Linked DNA regions of Stegostoma tigrinum. The main gene of each other region encodes a partner of the protein of the gene in region 2 in a complex. Links are inferred from orthologs where the notes say so. Each region holds a gene or a part of one and is shown on either strand. Other genes may lie near its edges. The genes, in order: gar1 and wrap53.

Region 1 (12,058 bases), on a different chromosome or scaffold from region 2:
TTCCTCTTGACATCTATTTTGTTTCAAAGTCTGTTTCGACGTGATGCTTTCTCATCTCGAAGGCCAAATCATTGATCATAGAATCCCCAGAGTGTGGCCTTTTAGCCCAACAAGTCCATGGTGACCCTCACAGCATCCCACCCAGACCCAATGCAACAAATGTACACAGCTCTGAACACCACCGGCAATTTAGCACGAACAATCCACCCAGCCTGCACATCTTTGGGCTGTGGAAGGAAACTAGTGTACCTGGAGGAAATCCACGCTGACACAGACAGAACATGCAAACTCCACACAGTGGCCCAAGGGTGGGATGGAACATGGGCTCCTGGTGCTGTGAGGCAACAATGCTAACCACCGAGCCACTGTGCTACCCCTAACTTTCTTTAGTCCAGTTTCCTCAGACAAACATTCTAAGTAGTCATTAGCCTGAAACAGCAACTGTTCCTTTCGCAACAGACGGTGTCTGACCCACTGTGTGCTTGTACTTTTCCCAACCCTCTGATCTCTCTAAAGGGACTGCTAAATTGCATTCTCCTTTTGTTACCTGTCCAAACTTCAGCTCCCTACCTGGCCACTCTTTCAGAATGAACAAGATCACTCACAAAACCTAGCACCTGCGAGATAAGCCTTAAAATCTCGCACTTTCATCAGCAAGATTGATTGCTTGCACTTTTTTCAAACGTCCCCTTGCTAACCATTTGCGTATTCCAGCTCATTTTTGTTAGGGATTAGGAAATTTTACTCTGCTGATTTCAAATAGGTGTCAGAAAGGGATACTGAACAGCCTGTGAGAACGACTCGCAGGACAGTACAGGAGAACTGGAGCCCATAAATCATTTCAAAAATGTGCATTAGAATTATGAAAGAAAAGCACTTCATTCCCAAGTAAATGGCTTTGTCCCAGCTTGAGAAGCTCTTCCTATCCTCTAAACCTTCATTGCTCAGGACCTCCTTATTTCGGATCGATTCCTTCACGCCCTAAACCAATCCAGGGGCCCTTATCGTCGCTGTAACTCTTCAGTGATCATCTCAACTGGGGAAACAAACACACGAAGCCAAGATAATAAAATGTGAGGCTGGATGAACACAGCAGGCCAAGCAGCATCTCAGGAGCACAAAAGCTGACGTTTCGGGCCTAGACCCTTCATCAGAGAGGGGGATGGGGGGGAGGGAACTGGAATAAATAGGGAGAGAGGGGGAGGCGGACCGAAGATGGAGAGTAAAGAAGATAGGTGGAGAGGGTGTAGGTGGGGAGGTAGGGAGGGGATAGGTCAGTCCAGGGAAGACGGACAGGTCAAGGAGGTGGGATGAGGTTAGTAGGTAGCTGGGGGTGCGGCTTGGGGTGGGAGGAAGGGATGGGTGAGAGGAAGAACCGGTTAGGGAGGCAGAGACAGGTTGGACTGGTTTTGGGATGCAGTGGGTGGGGGGGGGGAAGAGCTGGGCTGGTTGTGTGGTGCAGTGGGGGGAGGGGATGAACTGGGCTGGTTTAGGGATGCAGTGGGGGAAGGGGAGATTTTGAAACTGGTGAAGTCCACATTGATACCATATGGCTGCAGGGTTCCCAGGCGGAATATGAGTTGCTGTTCCTGCAACCTTCGGGTGGCATCATTGTGGCAGTGCAGGAGGCCCATGATGGACATGTCATCAAGAGAATGGGAGGGGGAGTGGAAATGGTTTGCGACTGGGAGGTGCAGTTGTTTGTTGCGAACTGAGCGGAGGTGTTCTGCAAAGCGGTCCCCAAGCCTCCGCTTGGTTTCCCCAATGTAGAGGAAGCCGCACCGGGTACAGTGGATGCAGTATACCACATTGGCAGATGTGCAGGTGAACCTCTGCTTAATGTGGAATGTCATCTTGGGGCCTGGGATGGGGGTGAGGGAGGAGGTGTGGGGACAAGTGTTGCATTTCCTGCGGTCGCAGGGGAAGGTGCCGGGTGTGGTGGGGTTGGAGGGCAGTGTGGAGCGAACAAGGGAGTCACGGAGAGAGTGGTCTCTCCGGAAAGCAGACAGGGGAGGGGATGGAAAAATGTCTTGGGTGGCGGGGTCGGATTGTAAATGGCGGAAGTGTCGGAGGATAATGCGTTGTATCCGGAGGTTGGTAGGGTGGTGTGTGAGAACGAGGGGGATCCTCTTGGGGCGGTTGTGGCGGGGGCGGGGTGTGAGGGATGTGTCGCGGGAGATGCGGGAGACGCGGTCAAGGGCGTTCTCAATCACCGTGGGGGGAAAGTTGCGGTCCTTAAAGAACTCAAGGCCCTCCGCTTCTTCCTGTCCCGCAGGCCCGACCAGGCCCCCTCCACCGACACTCTCATCCGCCTAGCGGAACTCGTCCTCACACTCAACAACTTCTCTTTTGACTCCTCCCACTTCCTACAGACTAAGGGGGTGGCCATGGGCACCCGCATGGGCCCCAGCTATGCCTGCCTCTTTGTAGGTTATGTGGAACAGTCCATCTTCCGCACCTACACAGGCCCCAAACCCCACCTCTTCCTCCGGTACATTGATGACTGTATCGGCGCCGCCTCTTGCTCCCCAGAGGAGCTCGAACAGTTCATCCACTTCACCAACACCTTCCACCCCAACCTTCAGTTCACCTGGGCCATCTCCAGCACATCCCTCACCTTCCTGGACCTCTCAGTCTCCATCTCAGGCAACCAGCTTGTAACTGATGTCCATTTCAAGCCCACCGACTCCCACAGCTACCTAGAATACACCTCCTCCCACCCACCCTCCTGCAAAAATTCCATCCCCTATTCCCAATTCCTCCGCCTCCGCCGCATCTGCTCCCACGATAAGACATTCCACTCCCGCACATCCCAGATGTCCAAGTTCTTTAAGGACCGCAACTTTCCCCCCACGGTGATTGAGAACGCCCTTGACCGCGTCTCCCGCATCTCCCGTGACACATCCCTCACACCCCGCCCCCGCCACAAGAGGATCCCCCTCTTTCTCACACACCACCCTACCAACCTCCGGATACAACGCATTATCCTCCGACACTTCCGCCATTTACAATCCGACCCCACCACCCAAGACATTTTTCCATCCCCTCCCCTGTCTGCTTTCCGGAGAGACCACTCTCTCCGTGACTCCCTTGTTCGCTCCACACTGCCCTCCAACCCCACCACACCCGGCACCTTCCCCTGCAACCGCAGGAAATGCTACACTTGTCCCCACACCTCCTCCCTCACCCCCATCCCAGGCCCCAAGATGACATTCCACATTAAGCAGAGGTTCACCTGCACATCTGCCAATGTGGTATACTGCATCCACTGTACCCGGTGCGGCTTCCTCTACATTGGGGAAACCAAGCGGAGGCTTGGGGACCGCTTTGCAGAACACCTCCGCTCAGTTCGCAACAAACAACTGCACCTCCCAGTCGCAAACCATTTCCACTCCCCCTCCCATTCTCTTGATGACATGTCCATCATGGGCCTCCTGCACTGCCACAATGATGCCACCCGAAGGTTGCAGGAACAGCAACTCATATTCCGCCTGGGAACCCTGCAGCCATATGGTATCAATGTGGACTTCACCAGTTTCAAAATCTCCCCTTCCCCCACTGCATCCCTAAACCAGCCCAGTTCATCCCCTCCCCCCACTGCACCACACAACCAGCCCAGCTCTTCCCCCCCCCCACCCACTGCATCCCAAAACCAGTCCAACCTGTCTCTGCCTCCCTAACCGGTTCTTCCTCTCACCCATCCCTTCCTCCCACCCCAAGCCGCACCCCCAGCTACCTACTAACCTCATCCCACCTCCTTGACCTGTCCGTCTTCCCTGGACTGACCTATCCCCTCCCTACCTCCCCACCTATACTCTCTCCACCTATCTTCTTTTCTCTCCATCTTCGGTCCGCCTCCCCCTCTCTCCCTATTTATTCCAGTTCCCTCCCCCCATCCCCCTCTCTGATGAAGGGTCTAGGCCCGAAACGTCAGCTTTTGTGCTCCTGAGATGCCGCTTGGCCTGCTGTGTTCATCCAGCCTCACATTTTATTATCTTGGAATCTCCAGCATCTGCAGTTCCCATTATCTCTGAAACATATGAAGCCATTGCCTTGAATTCAATTCTTTTGAATGTCACTATTGCAAAGCCTGCAGCGCAAAATTAAATGGCGGGGGGTGTGGGGTGAGCACAATGGAAATGTAGGAGCACATAGCTTGTCGTGAAAGCCAGTTTCTGGGTCGACCCTCTGAGCAGTCGCCATGCCTGTCACAGGAAGGAGCCCAAAGATCCGATGCACTCCCGGTGCAAGAGCCACTCCGTGCAACGTGGTCCCCCGGGCAGCGCGCGGCTCCACTCACTCACCGAACCCTGGCCCAGAGATAGAATGTTACCCGGAGCACGCGCTCCTTCTTCAGCCACGTGCACTCAATCCCGGCTGCAGGGAACAAAAAACACACACACAATCCTAAACTTAACCCGCTTTTTGAGTCCTGTAAGAACCTACTACTGCCTCTGTATTACAATTCCTTGAAATTATTTTACCTTTACAAACTTCAAGGACGCCTATGACATTTCAAACCCGGATCCGCCCTCGACATTGTTCCAGGGTTTTCAATGAGTGCATTACAGAGACCGGAACTTTACGTCAGTTTTGGGACGCTTCTTAACATCCGTGACCTGCCGTATTACAGTTACCGGTCTGCGTGCCCTCTTCGCAAGCGCACGGCGCGGTGGCGCACCCTCTAGCGAGAGAGTACGAGCATTGCACCAGCAGCGAAACAATTGGGAATTACAACTGGGCACCTTTGGTTTGGCAGTTCCTGGTGGCTCATGTCATATAGCTACGTTGAAGAGCCTCCCTCAAACTGCTGAGAAATTCTTTGCAGGGAAACTTTGAGCTGAATACTTGCAGAACATTACACGTATATGGGCGAGAACAAAGAATGTCAAATGTGCTCAGGATTGAATGTGCGAAACCAATGCACCCTTATCAGAGCAAGATGTTGAGTATCCCATTCCTGACCTCATGGAAATCTTCTCCGCTAGTTCTTTGCTAAGTTTCATAATGCTCACTTCTGGAGTTCGCTTCTTTTGACCCTGTATGGGCCAAAACCTAGTTTGGAGCTGCATGACCATGGCTGAGGCCAGGCTATCAGTGAGGAGGTTATTGGTGATGAGAGATAATAGGAACTGTTGATGCTGGAGAATCCAGGATAACAATGTGTAGAGCTGGATGAACACAGCAGACCAAGCAGCATCTCAGGAGCACAAAAGCTGACGTTTTGGGCCTAGACCCTTCTTCAGAAATGGGGAAGGGGAAGGGGATTCTGAAATAAATAGGGAGAGAGGGGGAGGCACACAGAAGATGGATAGGGGAACATAGAACATAGAAAAGTACAGCACAGTACAGGCCCTTCGGACCACGATGTTGTGCCTTGGAATAATCCTAATCCAAAAATAAAATAACCTAACCTACATTCCCCTCTATTCACTGCCGCCCATGTGCACATCCAGCAGTCGCTTAAATGTCACTAATGACTCCGCTTCCACAACTACCACTGGTAAACTATTCCATGCGCTCACAACCCTCTGGGTGAAGAACCTCCCTCTGACGTCTCCTCTATACCTCCCTCCAAACACCTTAAAACTATGACCCCTCGTGGCAGTCAGTCCTGCCCTGGGGAAAAGTCTCTGGCTATCGATTCTATCCATGCCTCTCATTACCTTGTACACCTTGGTCAGGTCACCTCTCTTCCTCCTTCTCTCCAGAGAGAAAAGTCCAAGCTCAGTCAACCCTCCTCGTAAGACAAGCCCTCCAGTCCAGGCAGCATCCTGGTAAACCTCCTTTGCACCCTCTCCAAAGCCTCCACATCTTTCCTATAATAGTGCGACCAGAACTGGACACAATATTCCATGTGTGGTCTCACCAGGGTTTTGTAGACTTGCAGCAAAACCTCACGGCTCTTAAACTCAATCCCTCTGTTAATGAAAGCCAAAACACCATATGCTTTCTTAACAACCTTATCCACTTGGGTGGCAACTTTGAGGGAGCTATGCACTTGAACACCAAGATCCTGCTGTTCCTCCACACTGCCGAGAATCCTGCCTTTAATCCTATATTCAGCATTTAAGGTCGACCTTCCAAAATGCATCACTTTGCATTTATCCAGGTTGAACTCTATCTGCCATTTCTCAGCCCATCTCTGCATACTGTCAATGAAGGAGAAGATAGGTGGAGAGGAGACAGACAAGTTAAAGGGGTGGGGATGGCGCCAGTAAAGATGAGTGTGGGTGGGGATGTAGGGAGGAGATAGGTCAGTCCGGGGAGGACGGACAGGTCAAGGGGGCGGGATGAGGTTAGTAGGTCAGAGATGGGGGTGGGGCTTGAGGTGGGAGGAGAGGATAGGTGGGAGGAAGGACAGGTCAGGGAGGCGGGGATGAATTTCGCTGGTTTTCAGATGTGGTAGGGGGAGGGGGAGATTTTGAAGCTGGTGAAGTTCACATTGATACCATTGGGCTGCAGGGTTCCCAAGCGGAATATGAGTTGCTGTTCCTGCAACCTTCGGGTGGCATCGTTATGGCACTGCAGGAGGCCCAGGATGGACATGTCATCTGAGGAATGGGAGGGGGAGTTGAAATGGTTCGCAACTGGGAGGTGCAGGTGTTTATTGCAAACCGAGCAATGTTCTGCAAAGCAGTCCCCAAGCCTCCACTTGGTTTTCCCAATGTAGAAGAAGCCACACCAGGTACAATGGATACAGTATACCACATTGGCAGATGTGCAGGTGAACCTTTGCTTGATGTGGAAAGTCATCTTGGGCCTGGGATGGGGGTGAGGGAGGAGGTGTGGGGGCAAGAGTAGCACTTCCTGCGGTTGCAGGGAGAAGTGCTGGGTGTGGTGGTGTTGGAGGGGAGTGTGGAGCGCACAAGGGAGTCGCGGAGACAGTGGTCCCTCCAGAAGGCAGACAAGGGTAGGGAGGACGAGGTAGGTGGTGGGGTCGGATTGCAGATGGTGGAAGTGTCGGCGGATGATGCATTGTATCCAGAGGTTGGTGGGGTGGTACGTGAGGACTAGAGGGATTCTGGTTTGATGGTTATTACGGGGACGGGGTGTGAGGAATGAGTTGTGGGAAAAGCAGGAGACACGGTCGAGGGCGTTCTCAACCACTGCGGGGTGGATGTTGTGGTCCTTGAAGAACAAGGACATCTGAGATGTACGGGAGTGGAATGCCTCATCCTGGGAGCAGATGCGGCAGAGGCGAAGGAATTGGGAATAGGGGGTGGAATGTTTGCAGGAGGGTGGGTGGGAGGAGGTGTATTCTAGGTTGCTGTGGGAGTCAGTGGGCTTGAAATGGACATCAGTTACAAGCTGGTTGCCTGAGATGGAGACTGAGAGGTCCAGGAAGGTGAGGGAGGTTTTAGAGATAGTCCAGGTGAACTTAAGGTTGGTGTGGAACGTGTTGGTGAAGTGGATGAACTGTTTGAGCTCCTCGTGGGAGCATGAGGCGGCACCGATACAGTCATCAATGTACCGGAGGAAGAAGTGGGGTTTAGAGCCAGCGTAGCTACAGAAGAGGTATTGTTCCATGTAACTTACAAAGAGGCAGGCAAAGCTTGGGCCCATGCGGAGGCCCATATCCACCCCTTTTTTCTGCAGGAAGTGGGAGGAGTGGAAAGAGAAGTTGTTGAGGGTGAGGATGAGTTCAGCCAGGCGGATGAGGGTGTTGGTGGAGGGGGACTGGTTGGGTCTGCGGGACAGGAAGAAGCGGAGGGCCTTTAGGCCATCTGCATGGGGAATGCAGATGTATAGGGACTGGACGTCCATGGTGAAAATGAGGTGTTAGGGACCGGGGAATTGGAAGTTCTGGGGGAGGTGGAGGATGTGGGTCGCATCACGGGCATAGGTGGGGAGTTCCTAGACCAAGGGGGAGAAAATGAAGTCCAGATAGGTGGAGATGAGTTCGGTGGAGCAGGAGCAGGCGGAGACAATGGGTCGACCAGGGCAGGCAGGTTTGTGGATTTTGGGAAGGAGATAGAAGCGGGCGGTGCGGGGCTGGGGAATGATGAGGTTGGAGGCTGTGGGTGGGAGATCACCTGAGGTGATGAAGTTGTGGATGGTTTGGGAGATGATGGTTTGGTTTTCGGGGGTGGGGTCATGATCCAGGGAGCGGTAGGAGGAGGTATCGGAAAGTTGGCGTCTGGCCTCATCGATGTAGAGGTCAGTGCGCCATACTACAACTGCACCTCCCTTATCTGCAGCTTTGATGGTGAGGTTGGGGTTGGAGCGGAGGGCTGCCTGTTCTGCGGGGGAGAGGTTGGAGTGGGTGAGAGGGGTGGAGAGGTTGAGGCGGTTAATGTCTCGACGGCAGTTAGAGATGAAGAGGTCGAGGGAGGGTAGTAGGCCTGGGGGTGTTGTCCGGGAGGAGGACTTGTGTTGGAGGCGGGAGAAGGGGTCAGTAGAGGGAGGGTTGGGCTCACGGTTAAAGAAATAAGCGTGGAGGCAAAGGCGGCGGAAAAACTGCTCAATATCCAGACGCGACAGGTATTCATTGATGTGTAGTTGTAGGGGGACAAAGGTGAGCCCCTTGCTTAGGACTGACCCTTCGACCTCAGTCAGAGGGAAGTCTGGGGGCATAGTGAAGATTCGGCAGGGCTCAGTGTGGCTGTCTTCTCTGGGGTTGCTGGCTGTGGAGGCTGTGGGCGGAGCGATGAGGTCGTCAGCTGTGGGCGGGGTTCCGTCGGCGTCAGCCGTGGGCGGGGTTCCGTCGGCATCGGCTGTGGGCGGGGTTGCGTCGGCATCGGCTGTGGGCGGGGTTGCGTCGGCGTCACTGGTGGGCGGAGTTGCACCGGCCTCGGCTGTAGGCGGAGCTCCATGAGCATCAGCAGTGGGCAGAGTTGTGTCGTCGTTAGTGGTGGGCGGAGTTGCGTCCACATCCGTCATGGATGGAGCGGCGTCGGCAATGGGCAGAGCCGGGTAGGTGGTGGCAGTAGCGGTGTCGGTAATGTCTGTGGTATTGGTTTCGGAAGTGGAGGCGGTGGCTACAGCAGCGATGGTGTTTGCTGTCCCGGAAGTGGTGTTCCCGGTGGTGGCGGATGTGACGTCATCAGTGGGTATTCCGACAGTGGCGTCGTGGCCAATGTCAGTGGGCACATTGTGGGGAAGGTCCGGGTAGGGCTGGGGATTTGGGAGGTGGAGGAATCCCATTTTAGGTGGCAGGGGCCAGTGAGTTTGCTGTGCTTACGGTTTTTAGTGGCTAATGAAGCTGAGTAGAATTGTGAGTTCAGGTTGTGGATCCTACGAAGAATAAAAAACAGGAGAGGTCCTTTGCAGGTCTGGGAGAGAGAGGCTCTGAGCTGGAGTAGGCTGGATTTCAGTGCCTGGAGATGCCGGCGTATGGCTGCGAGTGTCTGTTTCAGGACTCGCAGGGAGAAACGCTTCTGAAGGGTCTCAATGTTCTGAATGTAGATATTCTCACGGCTGGGGCAAAATTGGGAAGGCTTGAATGTGGACTGTAGTCCATTGGGGATGATCTGGTTCTGTAGGCAGGTGCTGAGGAAGGTGATGTGGCTGTAGTACCTGGTTTGCTTCAGGACGTGGTCGAGTAGTTTCAAGGCCGAAGAGATTACGAGAGAGTTGCAGTGGGAGAGAGATCCCCTGAGGTTTCTCCGGAGGGTAACTTCTTCAGGTCAGGCATCCTTAGAAGAGGCTTCGCAGTGGGGTCAAAATTGTATCAGAGATAATGGGAACTGCAAATGCTGAAGAATCCGAGATAACAAGGTGTGGAGCTGGATAAACACAGCAGGCCAAGCAGCATCTTAGGACCAGGAAAGCTGACGTTTCGGGCCTAGACCCTTCATCAGAAGTGGGGGAGGGAAAGGGGGCTCTCAAATAACTTGGTGCCAGTCTTGATGTGGATTTTTGTGTGGTTTGTACAAGCCATACTGCTGGGTGTGTAGGCACCTCATTCTGGGCAAAACATATGAAGATGAGATGGTCTCTGAAAGCCCTGACATATTTTTTGGTCAAATTCCAAAGTCACATGACACAAGGTGAGAGTCCAACAGGTTTATTTGAAATCACAAGCTTTCAGAGCACTGCTTTCAAATAACTGGGTGTCATGGAACTTCTGACTTTGTCCACTCCAGTCCAACACCAGCTCCTTCACATCACATTTCTCGGTGCCATGATTACTTGCTCATGTTCTTCTCTGTTCCCATCGAAAAGCCACGTGGCTGTCGTTGATTATATCCTGGGAACGACATGAACCATATTCTTGCAGTCTGGCTGTTATGATCAATTGTGAAGCTAATTAGTGTTTTGACTCTTCAGAGCAGACCATTCATCATCTCTTGAATGTATCGAACTGTGGGAACATCTCCCATGGAGCCCTGGAGACGTTTTGGGCCACAGTAATTTTGAAGATGATGGAGAAACCTCCAAACCCGCCGGGTGCTGCTGAGACCCACATAGATCAATAACCACCCCCGGGAAACCCATCGCCAGATCTGACATTGTTGGACAATAGAAGGTAGTTGATGCACATTCTGAACACAAACCAATATTCACAAACAACATTGACAGCCCTGTTTCTTTTCTTCTGAACTCTATCCCTTTGGCCTTTTGTTCTGTGTCACTATTTGCCAAGGCCCACCCAGAAGACCTTCTAGCGTCCGTCATTGTAAGTATACTGAGTAAGTGAGGCCCAACACAATCCACAAGCTGTGACTAAGGCAGGTAAAGATATGACCAGAGATAATGGGAACTGCAGATGCTAGAGAATCTGAGATGTACACAGCAGGCCCTGCAGCATCTTAGGAGTACAAAAGCCTAGCCGAACTCATCCTCACCCTCAACAACTTCTCTTTCGATTCCTCCCACTTGCGACGGGCAAAGGGGTGGCCATGGGTACCCACATGTGCCCAAGCTATGCCTGCCTCCTTGTAGGTTATGTGGAACAGTCCCTCTTCCGCACCTACAGTGGCCCCAAAACCCCACCTCTTCCTCCGTTACATTGATGACCGTATCGGCGCCGCCTCACGCTCCCAAGAGGAGCTCGAACAGTTCATCCACTTCACCAACACCTTCCACCCCAACCTCAAGTTCACCTGGACCATCTCCAACAGATCCCTCACCTTCCTGGACCTCTCAGTCTCCATCTCAGGTAACCAGCGAGAAACTGATGTCCATTTCAAGCCCACTGACTCCCACAGCTACCTAGAATACACCTCCTCCCACCCAGCTTCCTGCAAAAATTCCATCCCTTATTCCCAATTCCTTCGCCTCTGCCGCATCTGCTCCCAGGAAGAGGCATTCCATTCCCGTACATCCCAGATGTCCTCATTCTTCAAGGGCTGCAACTTCCCCCGCCGCAGTGGTCGAGAACGCCCTTGACCATGTCTCCCGCATTTCCTGCACCTCATCCCTCACACCCCGCCCCTGCCACAACCGCCCAAAGAGAATCCCCCTCACATACCACCCCATCAACCTCCAGATATAACGCATCATCCTCCGACACTTCCGCCATCTACAATCCGACCCCACCACTAAAGACATTTTTCCAACCCCACCCTTATCTGCCTTCCGGAGAGATCGCTCTCTCAGGGACTCCCTTCTCTACTCCAAAATCCTCTCCAACCCCACCACACCTGGCACTTTCCCCTGCAACCACAGGAAGTGCTACATCTGCCCCCACACCTCGTCCCTCACCCCCATCCCAGGCCCCAAGATGACTTTCCACATCAATCAGAGGTTCACCTGCACATCTGCCAATATGGTATACTGTATCCGCTGTACACGGTGTGGCTCCCTCTACATTGAGGAAACCAATTGGACGCTTGGGGACCGCTTTGCATAACACCTACGCTCGGTTCACAATGAACAACTGCACCTCCCAGTCACGAACCACTTCAACTCCCCCTCCCATTCCTTAGATGACATGTCCACCCTGGGCCTCCTGCAGTGCCACAATGATGCCACCCAGAGGTTGCAGGAACAGCAAACTCATATTCCGCTTGGGAACCCTGCAGCCCAATGGTATCAATGTGGATTTCACCAGCTTCAAAAATTCACGTCCCCCCACTGCATCCCAAAACCAGTCCAGCTCGTCCCCGCCTCC
Region 2 (11,807 bases):
ACAAGTTGCCAAATCGCTGGAATTTAATTTTGATGCACCATTTAGAACATAGAACATAGAACAGTACAGCACAGAACAGGCCCTTCAGCCCACAATGTTGTGCCGACCATTGATCCTCATGTATGCACCCTCAAATTTCTGTGACCATATGCATGTCCAGCAGTCTCTTAAATGACCCCAAGGACCTGGCTTCCACAACTGCTGCTGGCAACGCATTCCATGCTCTCACAACGCATTCCATGCTTAATGCATAAAAACCCAAAAAGGATGTGTTAACAAGTGGCTAGCAAAAGAAATCAAGGATTTATTCGCATTAAAAGAAAATTCCTGTAAAATGGACAAAAGAAGGTAAACCTGAGGGTTGGGAGCATTTCACAAATCTATAAAAGAGTACCAAGGAAAAGGATAAGAAAGAGAAATTAGAATAAATCAGGAAACTGGCAAGAACCACAAAAACAGACTGTAAATTCTTCGAAAAGCTTGTACAGAGAGTCAGAAAGCAAATATGGATCCATTACAAGCAGAGGCTGGAGAATGCTTTTTGATTAATTCACAGAATGTGGGCATCGCTGGCTAGACCAGCATTTATTGCCCATCCCTAATTGCCTAGAGGGCAGTTCAGAGTCAACCACATTGCTGTGGGTCTGGAGTCCCATGTAGGCCAGATAAGGTAAGGATGGCAGTTTCCTTCCCTAAAGGGCATTAGTGAACCAGAAGGGGCTTTCCTGACAATCAGCAATGGTTTCAGGGTCATCATTAGATTGTTAATTCTAGATTATTATTGAATTCAAATTCTACCTATCTGCTGTGGCAGGTCCCCTGAACATTACCTGGGTCTGTGGATTAACACTTTATGATGATTCGACTAGGCCACTGCCTACCTGGAATGTAGGAATAAACAACTGACAGAGAAACTCAAAATACACTTCGGAACTTTTGGTATTCAACTACTAAACAAGGGTGACCAAGTCCCAGTTTTCCAGGAAATTCCTGGAATGAGCCAAAGCAAAACAACGAACTGCAGAGACTGAAAACAAACAAAAACATTCAGTTAAAAAAAACAAAACTCTGAAGATGGGTCACTGGACTCAACGCATTAATTCTTTTTGCTCCATGGATGTTGCCAAACCTGCTGAGTTTCTCCAACAATTTCTGTTTTTACTGAGGACAACAAATGCCAAGATCACGGCAGGTCAGACAGCATCCATGGAGAGAGATCAAGCGAACATTTCAAATCATCTCAACTCGAAACATTAGCTTGATCTCTCTCCATGGATGTTGTCTGACCTGCCATGATCTTCAGCCTTTGTTATTTTCAGTACAGGTTCCAGCATCTGCAGTAATTTGCTCCTAATTTCTGTATTTATGTTTCTGGGATGAACTAACGTGTTCTGGGCCAAAATGTCATCAGGTGAGTTTTCAGTTGGTAAACATTATTAACAAAAAGGAAACCATGGCCTAAAAACTACACTGTGGTTAATCAATAAAATGAGCAAGGTGGATGGAAGGGATGGCAGTCTTTAGGTTTCAACAAACATGAAGAGTAGATTCGTTAATGCACACAGATTCTGCTCCGTAATTGAAACACAAATGCTTCAGTTCTTACACCTACCGCATCAACCCCTCACTCACCAAGACTCTGGACGATAAAATTGTTACAGCATAGGCAGAATATGCCTGCATGTTCTTCCTTTTCAGGTGACAATTTTCTTTTGAATGTCCCAAACGAACTTTCCACTACCATACCTTGAGGCTATTTATTCCAGATCCTAAACTTACTTCATGAAAAATATTTATCATGTCTCCATTACTTCCTTGATTAATTATCTTAAATTTTTGACCTCTCATTCTCAATTCTTCCATCAGTAGGTACAGTCTTTCTCTATCGATTCTGCCAAGAACTCCTTATCCAATCTCCTCTAGACCCACTTTTCTCCAAAAAAAAACTCCAAGTACATGGTGGCTCAGTGGTGAGCACTGCTGCCTCACAGTGATGGGGATCTGGGTTCAATTCCACCCTCAAGCAACTGTCTACATTGGTTTTCTCCTACAGTCCAAAAGCTGTGCAGGTTAGGTGGACAGACCATTCTAAATCGCCCTTTAATGTCCAATTATGTGTAGGCTAGGTGGATAATAACCGCACATGGGGATAGGATCTGGTAGGATGCTCTTCAGAAGATCAGTGCAGACTCAATAGACCTTATTCTGCATTCTCCAATCTAACCATATGTCTGAAGTTCTCATCCCAGGAACTGTTCTCAGTAAACCTTTCCTGCACTTCCTCTAATGCCTCCATGTTTCCCAAAGTATGAACTCAGACCTGGATGCAAGGCTGCAATTGTTTCAAAATGAGTGTTTTATGTTGCATTGTATGGAGTTTTCTTGCCAATTTAACTGAACTCTGTTGGGGTCTAGTTATATGGATGCCTGAGCAGCCAAATCACAGCACCCTCTGTGGTCATGGATGCAAACTCTGCATCCCCAGATTCAATTCAGAAAGTACAAGTCTCCTCACATCCATCCCAGGCCTTTTTATGTTCTGAGGAAGGGTCTAAGGAGCTGAAACACTAACTCTGATTTCTCTCCATCCATTCTGCCAGACTTGCTCAGCTTTTCCAACAAGATCTGTTTTTATTTCCTTTTAAGGGATTATTTGTTTGATGTGCTGTTTCTATTGTGGAATGTGAAACCTCAAAGCCTTAACTAATGTCTCTTTGCAGGTTCAGAGGTATGTTTTGGTGAAATAATGAAGGCACATGATCATAACGTTTTCTACACATCTTGAGGGGTATAGTTAAGGTGAATTGCAGGTGTCTTTTCCCTATTTTGGGAGATTTCATATGTTGAAGGCAACAGGGGAAATATTTAAAAGGATGCAAAAGGCAGCTTTATTAAAAAAATATATACAGTGTGGCTCATATGTGGAATGAATTTCAGAGGAAGTGGTTGATGCAGGTACAGTTACATCATTCAAAAGACATTTCGATTAGTACATTAAAAAGAAAGGGTTTGGAAGGATATAGACCAAGGCAGGCAGGTGGGACTAGTTTAGTTTGGGATTATAGTCTGCACAGACTGGTTGGACTGAAGGGTCTGTTTCTATGGTCTTTGACTTCACAATTGGAATTCAGGTTATTTGGGGATGGGGAGGGAAAAGGGGACAAGGGATAAAGTCAAATCAAAACTTTAATGTATGGCAGAGCAGGCTTGATGGACCAAATTACAAACTAATTACCCTACTATTTTATGGTCACTCTCAAAGAAGTCCAATAACCCATAAAATACATAACATATTTCAAAGAAAAGTCACAGGACTCAAGACATTAACTGTTTCTCTCCCCACTAATACTACCAGACTTGCAAAATTTACTCCCTTTGGGACAGAGTTGCATAGTTTTACCACTCTCTGGGTAAAAATGTTTCTCCCAAGTTCCCCATTGGATTTCCTAGTGACTACCTTACATTGCAGCACAAAAGACAAAATTGAATTTTAACCAAAAAAAAATGAGAGTTTATGGCAAGGTTTATGTAGAGGGAAAGAGGCTGGGATCACCTAAAATAAAGTGCTAACTGTTAACCTTCTACAAGGAAAATATTGGATCCATGGGCACATAGCTCGAGTCTGTCTGCAACAAATGACCCTAAACTTCCTGTCGTCTTCATCTGGCGAAGGGGGTGGACTCTGAAAGCTTGTGACTTCAAATAAACCTGTTGAACTATAACCTGGTGTTGTGCGATTTCTGCCTTTATTCTTAGGCTGTGACCCCCTAGTTCTGGACTTCAACATCACGAACATTCTTCCTGCATCCAGCCTGTCGAATTCCATCACAATTTTGTGTTTCTTTGGGAACACCTCCTCCCCCAACCTTCATTCTTCTAAATTCCAGCAAGTGCAAGCCCTGTCAATCCAGTCTTTCTTCATTCATTAATGCCTCCATTCCGAGAATCAGTCTGGTGAACCTTCGCCGGACTTCCTCAACAGCAAAAGCATCCTTCATCAGACCAAAACTGCTCATAATTCTCAAGGTGTGGCCTCACTTAGGTCCTATATAACTGCAGCAAGACATGCCTACTCCAACATTCAAATCAAGTTCAATAATTTTAGAACAAAGAAAATTACAGTACAGGAACAGGTCCTTCGGCCCTCCAAGTCTGCACCGACATGCTGCCCGTCACAACTAAAACCCCCTATCCTTCCAGAGACCTTATCCCTCTATCCTATTCATATATTTGTAAAGACACCCTTTAAGAGTCACTATAGTTTCTTCTTTCACTATCACCCCCAGCAGAGTTCCAGGCACACTGTAAAAAAAAATGCCTCGTAAATCACCTTTAAACCTTGCCCCTCGCACCTTCAACCCCTGGCCCCAGGTAACTGACTCATCCACCTTGGGAAATGGCTTATGACTGTCCAGTCTGTCCATGCCCTTCACAATCTTGTAGACCTCTAGAGATAATGGGAAGTGCAGATGCTGGAGAATCCAAGATAACAAAGTGTGAAGCTGGATGAATACAGCAGGCCAAGCAGCATCTCAGGGGAACAAAGGCTGACATTTCAGGCCTAGACTTCTATCAGGTTTCCCCTCAACCACCGACATTCCAGTGCAAAAGACCCAAGTTTCTCCAACCTCTTCTCATAGCTCAGGCCCACCATGCCAGGCAACATGCTGGTAAATCTTTCTGTAGCTTCTCCAAAGTCACCACATCCTTCTGTTAGTGTGGCAACCAAAACTGAACGCAATATTCCAAAATAACAGAGTGTGAAGCTGGATGAACACAGCAGGCCAAGCAACAACGTTCCAAAAGCAGCCAAACTTAAGGTTCTATAAAGCTGCACCACTACCGGCAAATTTTTAAACTCAATGCCCCAGCTAGAGAAGGCAAGCGTGCTTTGCTGACTACCTTTTCCACCCACGTTGCCACTTTCAGTGACCTGTATACCTATACACCCAGATCCCACTGCCTAGTAGTACTCTTAAAGGTTCTGCCCTTAAGACCTGAGCATCTTGCACCTTCCCCTAACCCGAAACCACACCAGGCCTTGTCATCACACAGCCTACTACCACAAACTATCCCACTGTCAGCCATTAATTGTCCCCATTAGCAGCTATAGATCCTCCCAGGCTGATCACGACCCAGTCCCTCCACTCCGATCTCCTTCTCTAACATATATATCAACCCTTTCCAAGCTACAATGAGTTTTGAAGAAAAAGCCACTGGACCTGAAACGTTAATTCTGGGTTTTTTTTCCCCCTCTCTATCCACAGACGCTGCTGAGTCTCTCCAGCAGTTTCTGAGCCGCATCAGGGCTGCCACGCAGGCGTAGTGGCGACCAACCAGCCCGTCCTCCGGGAGATGGCGGTTGGCTGCGCGGCCAGATCACGTGCGAGCAGACGCGGTGGGATGGGGGCCGTTGGGCAGCGGCGCGGGAAATTCAAAACACGTCACTGAGGCGGGGGCGGGGCCGCTGCCATGGCAACCGAACCGGTGGGGGGGAACGTGAGTACTGAAAATGGCGCTAGGCCCCAAAGAGCTCAAGAGGCCAAAAATAAACGGCGAGTCTTGCGGCCGGCGGCAATTGGTACGCTGAGAGGCTTGGATACCATCGGACCGATGATGGTCCGGGGAACTGGTGAACCGATTGTGGGTCAGGTACAGGGGGAAATGGGGGACGTGGATAAATGGTGGTTGGGCCAATAGTGCTTTGGGTGGACCAACGATAGCTGTTGGAATACAGGTGTACCAATGGTGTTTTGGATACAAATGGACCAATGATGTTTTGGGGATGCAGATGAACCAATAGCAGTCTGGGGATACAAATAGACCGCTGGGGGCTTGTGGACAAACATGGACAAATGGTGGATATGGGGTACAGAGGGGCCAATGGTGAATTGGGGATACAGGTGGACCACTGATGGTTGAGCGCAAAATGACCAATGCAAGTTAGACTAATGGGGCTTTAGAGACCGGTAGACCAATGGTGTTTGAGCTCAGGTAACCACAACTGGTCAGACAAATAGTGCTTTTGGGAAGTGTGAGCCAGTGGTAGTTTGGGGGGTACAGGTGGACCAATGGTGGTTGCGGACAGAAGGACCAATAGTGCTTTTGGGACAGGTAAACCAGTGGTGGTTTGGGTGCAGGTCAGCCAATGGTGGTTGAGCATTTGTGGACTGATGCCATTTGGACCAATAGTGGGTTTGGGTGCACAGATGGGCAATGGTGGTTTAGGGGTATAAGTGGACCAGTGATGATTTGAGGGCATGGGTGGACCAATGGTAGTTGGACCAATGATGCTTTTGAAACAGGTAGATTAATAATGGCTTTGGGTCACAGATGGACCAATAAATGCTTTGTGCGTAGGTGGACCAATGGTATTTTGACCAATGATGACTTGGGTACAAGTAGACTAATGGTAATTTGGACACATGGACCAATGTAGTTTGGGCACAGGTGAACCAATGGTAGTTGGATAATGATGGTTTGACACAGGTGTTATGAGCGTTGCTAATCAAATTGATTGATTTGACCTGGATGGTGTGAAGTTTTGAGGGTTGTTGGAGCTGCATCTTTTTCAGATAATTGGAGAGTGTTCCTTTGGACTTCTGACTTGTGCCCTGAATTAGCTACAGGCACAGAGGGATGTCACGGGAGGGATATTTGAATTTTTACAGTGTGGAGCTGGAGGAACACAGAAGGTCAGGCAGCATCAGAGGAGCAGGAAAGTTGACGTTTCGGTTCAGGACCCTTCATCAATCCTGATGATCCAGAATGTTGACTTTCCTCCTCCTCTGATGCTGCCTGAGCTGCTGTGTTCCTCCAGCTCCACGCTGTATTGACTTTGACTCCAGCATCTGCAGTTCTTGTTATATCCTACTTGAATCTTTGCAAGTTTGAGGGATATCTGGATTCTCATCAATTTTGGAGATCTTATAAATTTAAGAGAATTTTGGTCTATATACAAATTTCAGAGTTGTGCAAGAATGAATAATTGTTTTGAAAGAATTTTGAGAATACCTGGACTCTTCACAGTTTGGAGGATGCATGGAATTATATTTTTGATACGTCTGGTCCAACAGTAGTTACAAGGATATCTGGATTTCATAATTTAAATCATGTCAGGGTTATTAATAGTTTGGAGGATGATAGGATTTTTGGAGGAGTTTGGAAACTTGCTTTTAGTGTACTGGGCCTGTGAAAAATGTGGGATCTGTGGATTTATGTTTCTATTTATTCATCTGAGGATGTCTGGAATATTAGCTTTCAGATATATCTTCAGTATTCATAGTTTGGGAGATAGAATTTTTTTTTTAGATTTGCTGGACCTTCACAATTTTTTTTCAGTTTGTGAATTGTCTGACTATTAAAGCATTGAGTTGCAGACATACATTGTGCCACTGTAGGCTGTATGCAAAACAGGAAAAAAAAGTCTCTGAAAGGACACATTTCATAGCTGAAAGCTATATCACGTTTGTTCCTCCTAAATATTGCTTCCCCTCAGTTCAGGAATAATTAGAAGGCAAACCAGCCCATTCAACACAATTGGTTTGTGTTGCTGATTTATCCTCCATTACGGCCTCTTTTGTCTTATCCTACAGACATGCCCTTCTATTGTGTTCTCCTTCATGTACTCCTCTGACTTCCTATTTGGCTGAACTCCCCTTTTGTGGGATCAAGTTCCATATCTTCCCCACTCACTGGGTAAAGAGGTTTCTCCTAACGCATCTCAATCGTCTCGAGGAAGGAGAAGAGCCCCCTACTCCCCAAGTTCCACCAATGGCCCAAGTGGCTGATTGTGGAAGGCCCATTGCCTGCCTGTTCAAACTTTGTTGAATCCTAATATTGTAAACAACTATTTATAGCAAATTGAGTCAGTTTGGGGTAGCTACATGTCATTGTCCTATAGGGAGTATTTAAAAGGAGGAGTTTTACAGAGTTTGCACCAGATTGGACTTGTTCTAGATCTGGAGAAATTAGGAAAGAGGAATCAACTGTACCAATGTTTGTTGTAAAATTTGTTTCAGTGAACTGTTTATCTTGCCTCACGATCCAATTTGCTGAAAAAAAGAAGCCCCTCAACTTTCAGAAGGATGTACAGCACCAAGAAACGAAATGCTGAACATTCGTAGCTTGCGCAACAGATTGAGAAAACTGAAATCTGGAAATTTGTGTGGGTTGAACGCCAAAGAAGGAAGTATTGTGGCTGGACTGTTCATGTTGATGGTATCCATCATGCAGCTCATTTTTGAAGCGGGGCATTTTCGTTACTTGAGGCCTCAGGTTATTCCTAGCTCCGTGAATCAAATTTCCCGACTTCAAATATACAGCATCATATCAATTATCTTTGTCTGTCTCACTCTGATCGCAATTATTCTCTTTTTCGTATCTATCTGGAAGGAGGTGTTCTGGGGAGTGGCAGGCTACATCATTTGGATATTCTTATATGAGATTTTACAGATTAGCCTCCTGAGTTTGTCACTGCCTGATCAAAATTGGTTCCCAAGCAGTGTGCGTGTGTTGGAATGGTTTGGGCTCATCACACGTCTGCTTTCGCACATTTTCTGGATGATTTTTGTGACTTCACATGCAATCGAATTGTACAAAACCATCAGGAACACTGATGATCCCATGAAAACCAAGAGGAAGACTCCACCAAAGCTCAAATTTGCAAAAGTCAAGGAACTGGGTGTGTAATCATGCCCCACAGTTTGTGGTGTCAGGTGACATTCCTTCTTCGACCAAAGAAACGTTCTCCAAGCCATACTGGGCTTCCTCCAGACTGTCGTCCCACAGACAGTGAAGGCCAGGTCAGCTCCTTTCAGTTGCAAGCTGACACAATGGCATCCTTACAGCAAAGTTAAACCTGCAATACCCACAAATGTCCAGGATTTTAACCGATGGTGGATTATTGGGATGCCTATTAAATATGTTAAAATACGTGTAAATATGGATGTATATTGTATATTTTACAGCACTCTCCAGACCGATAAGGGTACAATATATTTTTGATTTTTTAAAAATACTGTACTGATCGAAACATTTGTATATAACTCCAGTTGATTCTAAAGACGAATTGTAACCCTTTTTTAAAAATTAAGTTGTTACAATTAATAATTCTTATTAAAAAGTTAACATTTTGTTTAGTTCTGTTTCGTTTGTAAATGGAGGATAAGCTCCTAGGTTGCCCAGTTGGTAATACCAGCAAAGGAGTAACTGCTGTGCAATAACATTTTCCATTATAATAAGAGCAGCATTTCAGATCAATGAGTCATAAATAGTGTAATAGAGTGGGAAAGCAAAGAACTTATGAAGCATATTAATTCAGTCTGATTCTAGGCACCACGCTTTATGAGCAATTTCAAGGCCTTAGAGAAGATGTTTGTGATGTGGAAAGACTGAACAAGCTGGTCTCGTTCTCCTGAGAACGGGGAAGGTTCAGGAGATATTGAATAGAGGTGTTTGAAATCATGGATGTGGGTAGAAAAATTGTTTGCGATGCACGAAATCACAGGACATCGAATAGAGATAATTGTGAATGGAAACAGAGCGCAGATAATTTTTACCTTTAGTGCAGCAAGCTATGGTGATCTGAAACACACTGCCTGAAAGGGCAGTAGAAGTAAATTCAGTAGCAGCTTTGAAAAGAGAATTCAGTGACCGCTTAAAGGGAAAAGTTGCAGGATCATGCCAAGAAAGAGGAGGGAAGGGCAATTAACTTGATGGCTCTTTTAAAGACTGAGTAGAGAAAACATGCGACAAAGAGATTGAATAGGGAGGTGTGAATTACTGAGACTGGGTGATTGGCAGTGGATAAATATGTCTGCTGTCAAGACAGGATCAAATTAAATTAGTCAGAGACCTCACACTATTCAGGTTCACACCAAATCCTGCTATAATTCAGATGTGATGTGAAGCCATGTGCCAACTTTGGCTCGTCAAACCATAAGGATCAACATGAATTTAAAACTCACAGACCACTTTTTTTGATCTTTCAGCAAAACATCTGCTCTTGCTCTAAACCATGCTGATGTAGATTAATGTTATAGAATTATAAAACAGTTACAGCACAACCTTTTGGCCTGTTTTGCCCTCGCCTGGCTGCATGAGCACAACTCATTTTGTCTCACTTGTTTCCAACAACCACCCCCACCATAGTTCTGCAATTTTTGTCCTCATGTTGCCATTGGATCTTTTACCAATTACCTTAACTCTGTGTCCCCATGTTCTTGATTCTTACAGCAATTGGATCAGTTTCTTCTCATCTAATCTGTCTAGACCCCTCATGATTTTGAACTTCTCTATCAAATCTTCTCTCAACTTTCTTCAACCCCTTCAAGGGGCTTAACTCTTATTTTGAGGGGCTAGTTAGCTCAGTTGGCACAACAGCATGGTGTGATCCCCATTCTGGGAATTACATTCTTACTCTTCCTTGTAGCAAGATCAGTCACAGCACAACCTATAGTTAGGCAACCCTCTCATACTCAAGGATGCTTGCTGAAGTTAAGGAAACATAAATTCCTTGCTCTTCAAGTGTTATTTTTAACCTCGAGACCTGTAATCTCACTAAATCTTGAGTTAATTAGCTTGTGTTACAAAATATCCAGGATGTCCAGCTGACATTGTATAAAAACTGTCAAATCAGGAAAGACAACCGTGCTCTTTTTTAATATATATTTAACTGTAAACATCAACATTTTATTGTCCTACAAAACCTAGGAATTGGCTTATTGTATAAAAAAACAACCATCTGTGCCACAGTAATGGGACAGAGATAGTAACACTGATATATCAAGAAATGTCAACAGGAACAGAATTAGCAATAAATGCAGGAAAAGTTCACTAGTAAGATGGAATTCCTCAGATGGTCATGTTCTATGGTTCTGATTCTACGAATTGCTTTGGGGAATTTAAAAATTCATTTTCAGGTTATTGCTATATGCGAAACCATGGTCTTTGTTTACTTTCAATTGTGGTTAAGAACCTTGTTCGTGAGGAGCATTAATGCTTTTAGTAATGGCAGGGTAATCTGGGAGAAACAGACTGTTCGATTGGGTGATCCGATCAGTTAGCGAGCAATGTATGCTTTCTGAATAGCCATGGGAAGTCAGAATGTAGTGAAGATAGACAGTTTGGATGTCCAATGAGGAAATGTGTCTGGAGGTCATGTGATAACAGCTGGCATATATCCCATTAGTTTCAGTGATGTTTAAGGGGAGGGTGACTCAAATGCAGGATTACAATCATTGCCCTCTTTGTCCACAGCTTCCAGTGGCTAGGTTCACCAATTCAGCGAGCGCTGGGTTTACAACTAACTATTTATTTTCATTTGTGAAAATTAGTTGGGATTCTTTAGCAAGGGGTGTACGCAGTGGTAGTATCCCTCCTGCTGAACCAGAAGTCCCATCTGCTCCAGAGGTATGTCATACATTCTCTGTACAGGTTGATTAAAAATATCTATACCTCTCACACCATTCAAATTGGGAACTAGAGGCAGATGTCAAGCAGAAAGTAGAGTTGGTAAACTGAGATAGACATGCATTTGTGTAGCTCTTTTGACAACCTTTGGATATCCCAAAGTGCTTCACAGCCAATTTGTACTTTAGAGGTGTCATCATAATTACAATGGAATCATGTGGATTATTGGCACATGGCAAGTTTCCAGAAACAGCAATGTAGTGAATCCTAGAATCTCAACAGTGTGGAAGCAGGCCATTCAACCCATTGAGTCCACAGCGGCCCTCCAAAGAGCATCCCACCCACCCATACCCTATTCCTATAACCCTGCATTTCCTGTGGCTAATCTACACATC

What was found.
Region 1: wrap53 (region 2) and gar1 share a complex: the UniProt entries of both Homo sapiens proteins name them as parts of the telomerase holoenzyme complex. The link is inferred for Stegostoma tigrinum from reciprocal best matches to the Homo sapiens genes WRAP53 and GAR1.

What each region holds. Positions count from the first base shown.
Region 1 is NC_081354.1:61,438,765-61,450,822, reverse strand, and holds the start of gar1 (H/ACA ribonucleoprotein complex subunit 1), read right to left. Parts: upstream 4,635-12,058; 5' UTR 4,485-4,634; intron 4,378-4,484; 5' UTR 4,305-4,377; intron 1-4,304. UniProt on the Homo sapiens protein: Required for ribosome biogenesis and telomere maintenance. Part of the H/ACA small nucleolar ribonucleoprotein (H/ACA snoRNP) complex, which catalyzes pseudouridylation of rRNA.
Region 2 is NC_081398.1:3,817,190-3,828,996, forward strand, and holds the start of wrap53 (telomerase Cajal body protein 1), read right to left. Parts: upstream 5,330-11,807; 5' UTR 5,223-5,329; intron 4,794-5,222; exon of another isoform or gene 1,633-4,793; intron 1-1,632. Other genes in the region: transmembrane protein 217-like, read left to right, coding at 8,110-8,691. UniProt on the Homo sapiens protein: RNA chaperone that plays a key role in telomere maintenance and RNA localization to Cajal bodies. Specifically recognizes and binds the Cajal body box (CAB box) present in both small Cajal body RNAs (scaRNAs) and telomerase RNA template component (TERC).